2 linked regions of the Drosophila melanogaster genome follow. The protein of the gene in region 2 interacts with the protein of the main gene of each other region in a pairwise test. Each region holds a gene or a part of one and is shown on either strand. Other genes may lie near its edges.

Region 1 (4,760 bases), on a different chromosome or scaffold from region 2:
CAAAACGCAACGCAAAGCGAAACACAACAAAACAAAAACTAATTGGAAAACCAATATCGAGGAGAGCACGACTATCAGGTCGAAAATCGGGAGATACGTGGGCTACAGCACAGATATAACTTACATATATGCATGTAGAAGAGGGATGGGTGATAGGGGTAGGGGGAGTTGGGGCTAACTTACTTTGGAGTTTCAGTGTGGAAGTTGAATTAGAAGTAGAAGAGGACGAAGCGCTGGTGGAAATATCGGGCACATTTTCCATGTGCACAGCTTTAACAACCAATTTTAGAATGCACTACTCTCTTAGCGGTTGGCACATTTATTTCGCTTTATTGAGAATGCATTTTCATTTTTGCACACCAGCTCGCACGCACACACACACAGGTGACATGGGCGCTCGCACACGCACACAGCGACACCGAAATCGCAGAACTCTGGGATATCGAAAAAAGGTAAACAAAACTTTTTCACTGCCTCCCTGTGCGCAAGCCGTGGAGTCCCTTGGCGGATTTCGATGTGCTTCAGCTGGACGATGCATAAAATGCAACAAAAATCAATAATATCACCGTTTCACACACGAAATTATTAAAAAAAAACGATAGCGAAAATATTTTGAGCTACTCCAAAACTGTGTGCATGTCAAACTGTCAAACATATGACGGCAAAGTTGCCAGATGTTGCAAAGGGCGAGCTCCCACAAAACTTAACGACAATGATTTCGAATTTTTTAAAATTGATAACTTATTATACAAGAAAGCAAGAATACTTTACAAGCCAATAACCTTGTAATCTTAACCTTACAAGTCTATGTTTGATATAAATTAGTTTAAACTATATCTAACCATCTGGCAGCACCCCAAGTGTTCCACTTATCGGCTTATCGGTCAAGATGACAACTCCAACATTCAATTATCGGAAATCGGGCACTATATTTAAAATATCGTATTGAATTTCAAATCCGGGTTTTGTTAGTCATTTTTTATACGTTTTATAATTATTTTCTTTCTGTTGAATTTTAAACTCCGATGTATCCCGCCGTGTCCGCTGTTTACCGCCGACGTCCAGCTGACGGTTCCACCCTTCTTTAACTTACATATGTATATGTACATTTCAACGAATCTAGTATACCCTTTCAGTCTACGAAAATTTTAATCTTAGTTCAATCAAATGATGTATATTAGTATATAGGTACATAGTCGATGGCCTCGGTTATATTATCTTAAATAAATAAATAATGAAGGATTGATGAATTTATAATGCATATTTGTCTTAAAAACGCTGAGATTGGTTTGCTTGGACGTGAGCAGGAAGTTCTATTCCTGCGACTTTTGTTAGAACCCAAGGAAAATATTACATACCATTCTAGTTCTTAGCTTAGTTCAATCATAAAGTTATATGTCAAAATCCTTTAAGAGGAGCATGCAAATGGGAAGTAAAATGGGCGTAAAATGTAAATGACATTTTGTGTAATTCGCATATGTACATTTGTATATTGTAAGCTATCAAAATATATGTATGTTTGTATGTATGTACAGCCCTTGAGACCGCCCATCATTGATAGGCAACGACTTTCGCCGAACTTTCCTTGGATTTTTCCAGCAGCCGACCCCGCGGTTTTCCGACCCCGCCTCGCTTCCCTCCGCTTCCCGCGACCAGCGGAAGTCTCGGGGCTCTGGCTCTATCAAAATCAACGGGCGGGGCGACTGAAGCGAACACAGAATAATTGCCATAGCTGTGTGCCAGTGCCAGTCAGTGCCAGCAGTTTGAAATCGACGACAACATCAGCAGCAACAAGCATTGCAACAACAGCGACGGCGCGGTGATAAGTCGGCTGCTGGCTGTATATTGCCGCTGGCTTGTTATTTTATTGTCGCTTTTGTTGCACATTGAAAATAATACACAAAATAATTGAATTACTCGAAATGTGTGCATGTCCGTGTGCGTGCCACTTGTGTATGTATGTGTGTGTGTCGTGCCTTTATGGGGGCGTTCAGGGCCCCGCTGATAAGCGATGATCAAGAGGTAAACGAGATAAGCGCTGCTCATTTGGAAGCACAGGCAACACGCGCTAAATGAACCCGCCAACTTGATAATCCGCGATCCCAGAAAACAAAATATTTGTCTTCTGAATTATCTTGTAATGATAATTTGACAGTTATTGTATATTAAGAAGGTCAATGTTTACTTATGGGAAGCATAATAAAGCTGAAATTAGAATTTTATGTTTATATCTATAGTTAGGATAATATGATATTCTCTCAATATTGCTACATTACATTGCTGGCTATAATTTAGGCATTGGAATTAATCCGAATCGCGTTGCTTGTTTGATTTGCAGCTTTGAGTTTCTTATTTACATATGTATATGCATTTTGTGGCACTTTGACAGTACTCCCCACTTTTGATTTCCTACAGTGTTCCCCGTGCTCGTCGACATGTGATAAGGAGCGTGAGGTGGAAACGTGACTCTCGGCGGGGCGGGCATCGGCACGTAAATTATGCTGATGACACCGGCTCCGCACCCAGGCTCTGAAAAAGCTGAAAAGCCCGAAAAACTGAGCGAGCGATTGCGCTTGAAAAATACCAGCACGTTCCTACGAGCTGCAAAGCAACAAGAATAACTGGCTTCGGCTGCCATTTTATTGCAGCGCACAAATATTTACAATACCATTTAATGACATTTCGCCTTATAAAACAATGAGTGAGAAACGTATTTTCTGGTTTCATGCATTTTATTTGGCTAATTGGGCCTTTGAACTCTATTGCTTTGATGATGAAAACGACGCCAAGATAACGTCATGTGCGACGAAACAAGCATTCGAAGTCACGCCCCCTCAGGACTCCCCTCAGCGCGCCCAACGAGCATACGCAGTCAACGCCCCTTGGCGACGATAACAATTCAAAAGAGACCCCGATCAAAATGCAATAGCGAGTTTTTAAAAGCCATTATTACTTGCAAATGGGGGGCAGATCGAACGCCCCCTCAATAAGTGCACATTGAACCATGTTGTTGGTGCCAGTTTCGCTGAGCCCTTCTAGGTTCTCCGTAGTACGAAAAATATCTATGTACTTATGTATAAAGCCAAGTCTCGTAGACATTTCTTCCAAGAAACACAATGTCGTTAAACAAACCTTTTAAAAATCCACATATGACTTCATTAGTTTGTTGCAAGCTTATGAATACATTCAATGTAGTTTTAATGAGTGGAAGCGGTTTAACTAGCAAGGTTGCAGTTTGAAAAGCCCAAAAATAGCGTTGCCCTTTGTTGCATAGGTCACCCTGTTGCTCCACGGAAAATCTCTCAATGAAAAGCCGTTCGGAGTCTTCCTTTTGGCCGGCGGAAAGGAAACTGGTAATAAAATTACAGCGGGAGAGAAAATAATAGCTGCAATATCTGCTGTCGGCGGCGCAGCTAGCGGCCTCTAACTGTAAATGGCCAATATTAAGCGGAGAGAAAAGCCGAAACAGGAGCTTAAAAGTCCGGCGAAGAGATAAAGAGAGAGAGATCGCGGTGACAGAGAGCGGGTGTGGGAAAATTGTACGTATGCCCAGATGCAGCGAAACGACAAGGAGAGTACTGTGGGCCAAACAAAGTTAAAATTCCCTGGGCCAGGAGGAATGCCTGAAATGATCTTATTAGTAAAGTTTTCCGTACAGAAACTTACTTGATCTTTAAAAAGCTGTTTATTCCCGTTTAAGGGTTTCAACCTCATTTACAGCCTTTAATATCGTTTACCTAGAAACCGAACAGCTATTAAATATTAAGTACCATAAGCTATTTGTGGTTTTCAGGCTTTCACGCCAATTTATTTTGCTAAACGGCTTTTGCATTCCACAGTGCCTGCATCCAAACTGAAACTACAATTGCAGTGGCCCCACACACACACATACCCTCATCACGCACACTCCTTTATGTCAAGCCGGTTTTATTTTGGTTAGTGAAGAGAGAGGGGCGGTTAAAGGGGAAGGGACTGCAGTTAAAATGTGGCAAAATGGAAAAGGAAAATGTGTACTAGAAAAATGCAAGGCATGCCACCAAACAATAACAACACCACTGCAGCATCGAAAGCAACAATTGGACACCGAATAACGACAACAATAATCAAATCCTGGTACATTATTATATGGTCGACTTGGGGAACCAGTTTTATTGCAATTTGTATTTGAAGCGGCCAAACAGCCCCAGAAATTACGTATTACGAAAATAAATAAATTTTTCTCTAAGCTGCTTCTGCTTCTTCGTCTTGTGCGGCTAATAACAAAAACAACGGCAATGCTGTGTCTTTGTTTTTACGTCAGGTCGAGATTACAAGCATACATATAGCTATAAGCAGGTTACATGTGTGTGAGCGCACTTCCCCCACCTGTTGCAGTAATTTTAATTGGCCAAAACCATTTCGGTGGAATCTCGAGACAGTGCCGTATGTTCTGGCATTTGTGGAAAATCATTTTTCTGGCAAAATGTAAAACAATTGAAAAGCAACAGGTAAACCAGCAGAAATACCCACACACACACATGCGGGCATTACTAAGCAGACATATGTTTGTGTGGCAGTGAGGCTCCAACCGCAAAAGAGAAAACTACAGCCGATCACGTTCTCACCTACACAAAACTCGTAGGTCATTTTGCTGGGGCACAACGACTTCAAGTGCATATGCCCTCATATTAGCTAAAAAATAAATCCTTTAATTTTCGGTAATATTCGGTTTTTTTTTTAAATCAACAAGCATTAAAATGAATAGTTCAATTTTTATATTA
Region 2 (2,802 bases):
TGGCCCGGAAGTGCCCACTGACCGTTGGCTCATCGTGACTCGGCTCGTTTCCGTATCTCCCATCTGGACAGCCTTCAGTAGTCGAGTTGCTGTGGTGACCCCAATGGCCTTCTCCTCGGACCACTTTCGATCGGATTGCTCAGAAATGACAGTTCGCTTTTTGCTTTATTGCCTCTGCCTGAGGAATCTTTATCGATTGGGGGTGACTCTTCGGCGGTGACCTTTTTAAAGAGCAACAAATAAGGTTGAGTTCTTAAAGGTATGCCACTTTAAAATGGTAACCGGATTCCAAGTTTTGGGTCACCTTGGTGATATGTTTAGTTGAGCTCACAAGCATTTGTAGTTTAAAGACGGAGTACACGTTTTTTTTGACTCTAATGCCGTTTGGGGTCACCTTTTACCAAAGGTGATTGGCCTTAATTGGCTACTACATTGATAATATGATGGGGTCTTAAAATGGATGTAATCTATAGTACATATTTGAATGAAGACGTAATCGTAATGTTTTTGGCCAACCCAGAAAACATGCCGCTCAACACAGTTTCCGGTTTTCAGTTGATTTTATTGCACTTATAAACAAACAAAAAAAATACACTCGATGGTGGTCGTCAGGGAGCTCGGTGATTCTACGCCGTGGAGTTGGCCGTTTCGGTGATCTTCTGGCGCACCTGCTGCACCACATCCGCTACGTTGTTCACAAACGAAAGCCACATGGCCTTGATTCTGGTGCCCAGGCCCAAGGGATCCGCTCCGTCCATATTCTGTGTCACTTCCATGCCCTTCTCCTCCTGCCGTCGTCGTCGCACCAACTTCTTGTTCTTTTTGCCAGTGGTCTTGGGACTCACTCGGGATCGGGAGGCATTGTTGGCGGCCCGCTTTTGAGCTCGTCTCCGTCTGGCCTCCACGTCATCGTCGGCGGACGCCGCTGTGGTGGCGGCAGCGCTCATTTTCCAGAAGCAAGGAGCGCGTTTGAGGCGATGCAGGCTCCGCCGCCTTCGCTTCCGACGACGATCCTCCTCGGATGAATCGGTGGCAATGGGACGTATGGCATCTCCATAGCCAACGGCCGTTTTCGAGTGCACGGACATCAGGGGATTGTCAATGTCGACGTCGCGGGAGATGGCGGCGCCACTCTGAACTGCCTCCGCTATATTTCCGGCCAGAGACATGGCGCCCATGCCCAGCGACTCTAGCGGATTCTGTGGACCTGGCCTGGCCGCAATCATGGCCAGACCCGCGACAACCAGGAGAAGTGCCAGCTGATGGCGATTCATCGTTTCTAACTGTAAGGTTGCGGCATTGCATCCGCGCTTTTTAAGCCATCGAATCGCGTGATTCCCTTCGATACATATCGATTTGAATCCACACCATGGCACCGATGGCTAGTAGAGATCACAGTAGGCTTTCGGATTGGCCCGACGACAGCTGTCAGGTGTCACCGGACTGGTTGAGCTATCCAGTCAGTATCACTTGCTCGCTCAGTCGGTTCAGATCGGTTCGTTTTACAATTTTTCCCGCTACAGACTTCGTAAACAAATTGTATCAAAATCTGAATTTGAAAATCAATTTTTGGCTATCCACACTCGAGCTACACAACCTCTCGTCAAAACTTTTAAGTTTACATCGCGACAAACGGAACAACAGGGAATCATGAGATCCAGCAAAGTTCGTGGGGGCAACGCCAGTCGATTGGCTGACGCGGAGGGACAGTGGGGAAAGGGATGCCTGGGTTCCCAGCACTCAATTATCAAGAATCACGGGCGTGGCCTTTCATCCGTGAGTAAAGGAAAGCGTGTTATAAGCTCAATTGTATGAATATTTTACAAAACGAAATCAAAAGTTACACATCGAAAACGGCCTACTACTTGCGCACATTAGACACTCATCTAAATATCATTTAAGCCAGTTCAGAATAAGGATAAAATTGTCCTGGTTTAGCTTCCATTCTCATCCGTTTATTCCTCTAACCTATGCAGCAAACTCCCACGCAATTTGGTGGATTCTCGCCGTCGGGACAGCAGTATCCTGCCGTGTACTCGCAGCCAGGATTCCGGGCCGATGGTAAGCTGAAGGTCACGCCCAACTCGCTGCTCCAGCAGCAGCAACAGCAGCAACAGCAGCAACAGCAGCAACAGCAGCAACAGCAGCAACAGCAGCAACAGCAGCTCCTGGCGCAGCAGCAGCAGCAACTCCTGGCCGCCACATCGCCGCAGGTAGCAGCTGCATCCGGACCAGGAGTGGGCGTTAGCGGTGGCGTGGTCAACATGCCCAGCTATGCGGACCAGATGCACGCCGCCTTCCTCGATTATCAGCGCCAACGAGCCGAGTTCGAGCAGCAGCAGCAGCACCTGCTGCAGAAGCTCTACCACTACTATCCCGATGTATCCGGCGGCCTAACATCACCGGCTCATCAGATTCAACCCCAAACCCCCCAGATAGCTGCTCCCGCCGATGTGGGAGGCGCTCCGGCGGGCGTGGCAGCACAGAACGCAGCTGGCCGCTTCGCCTACCGTCGGCCGCAGTTCAGCAACAATGGCCTGCAGCCCGAGCGCCTTGCATCCGGATCCATTGTGCCCGGAGGTCCAGTAAGAGGAGGTCCAGTTGGAGTCATCCCGGGAGGAGTGATCGGATCAGCGCCTTTGCGCTCCAACAGTCTGGGAGGGGGAGCAAGTGGAGACTTCTACTCCACGCAACAGCACATGGGCTTCATGCAGCAGCAGCAGCAGGACGTGCTCCGTGACCAGCAGCAGTCGGTGGCCCATCAGTTCGCCACCAGCCAGTTGGCGCCCACCACCCGCCAGA

What was found. Proteins that work in one complex are often made in the same cells at the same time.
Region 1: the proteins of CG6290 (region 2) and ced-6 interact in a two-hybrid assay, tested with the Drosophila melanogaster proteins (one large-scale study listed by BioGRID).

What each region holds. Positions count from the first base shown.
Region 1 is NT_033778.4:9,441,935-9,446,694, reverse strand, and holds the start of ced-6 (ced-6), read left to right. Parts: upstream 1-1,757; 5' UTR 1,758-2,011; coding exon 2,012-2,022; intron 2,023-4,760. Other genes in the region: Camta (Calmodulin-binding transcription activator), read right to left, coding at 184-262. UniProt on the Drosophila melanogaster protein: Plays a role in axon pruning in larval mushroom body neurons during metamorphosis. Plays a role in the infiltration of glial cell processes into mushroom body lobes and the subsequent engulfment of degenerating axon branches.
Region 2 is NC_004354.4:18,435,976-18,438,777, reverse strand, and holds CG6290 (uncharacterized protein), read right to left. Parts: upstream 1,289-2,802; 5' UTR 1,275-1,288; coding exon 627-1,274; 3' UTR 545-626; downstream 1-544. Other genes in the region: CG32548 (uncharacterized protein), read left to right, coding at 1,977-2,802.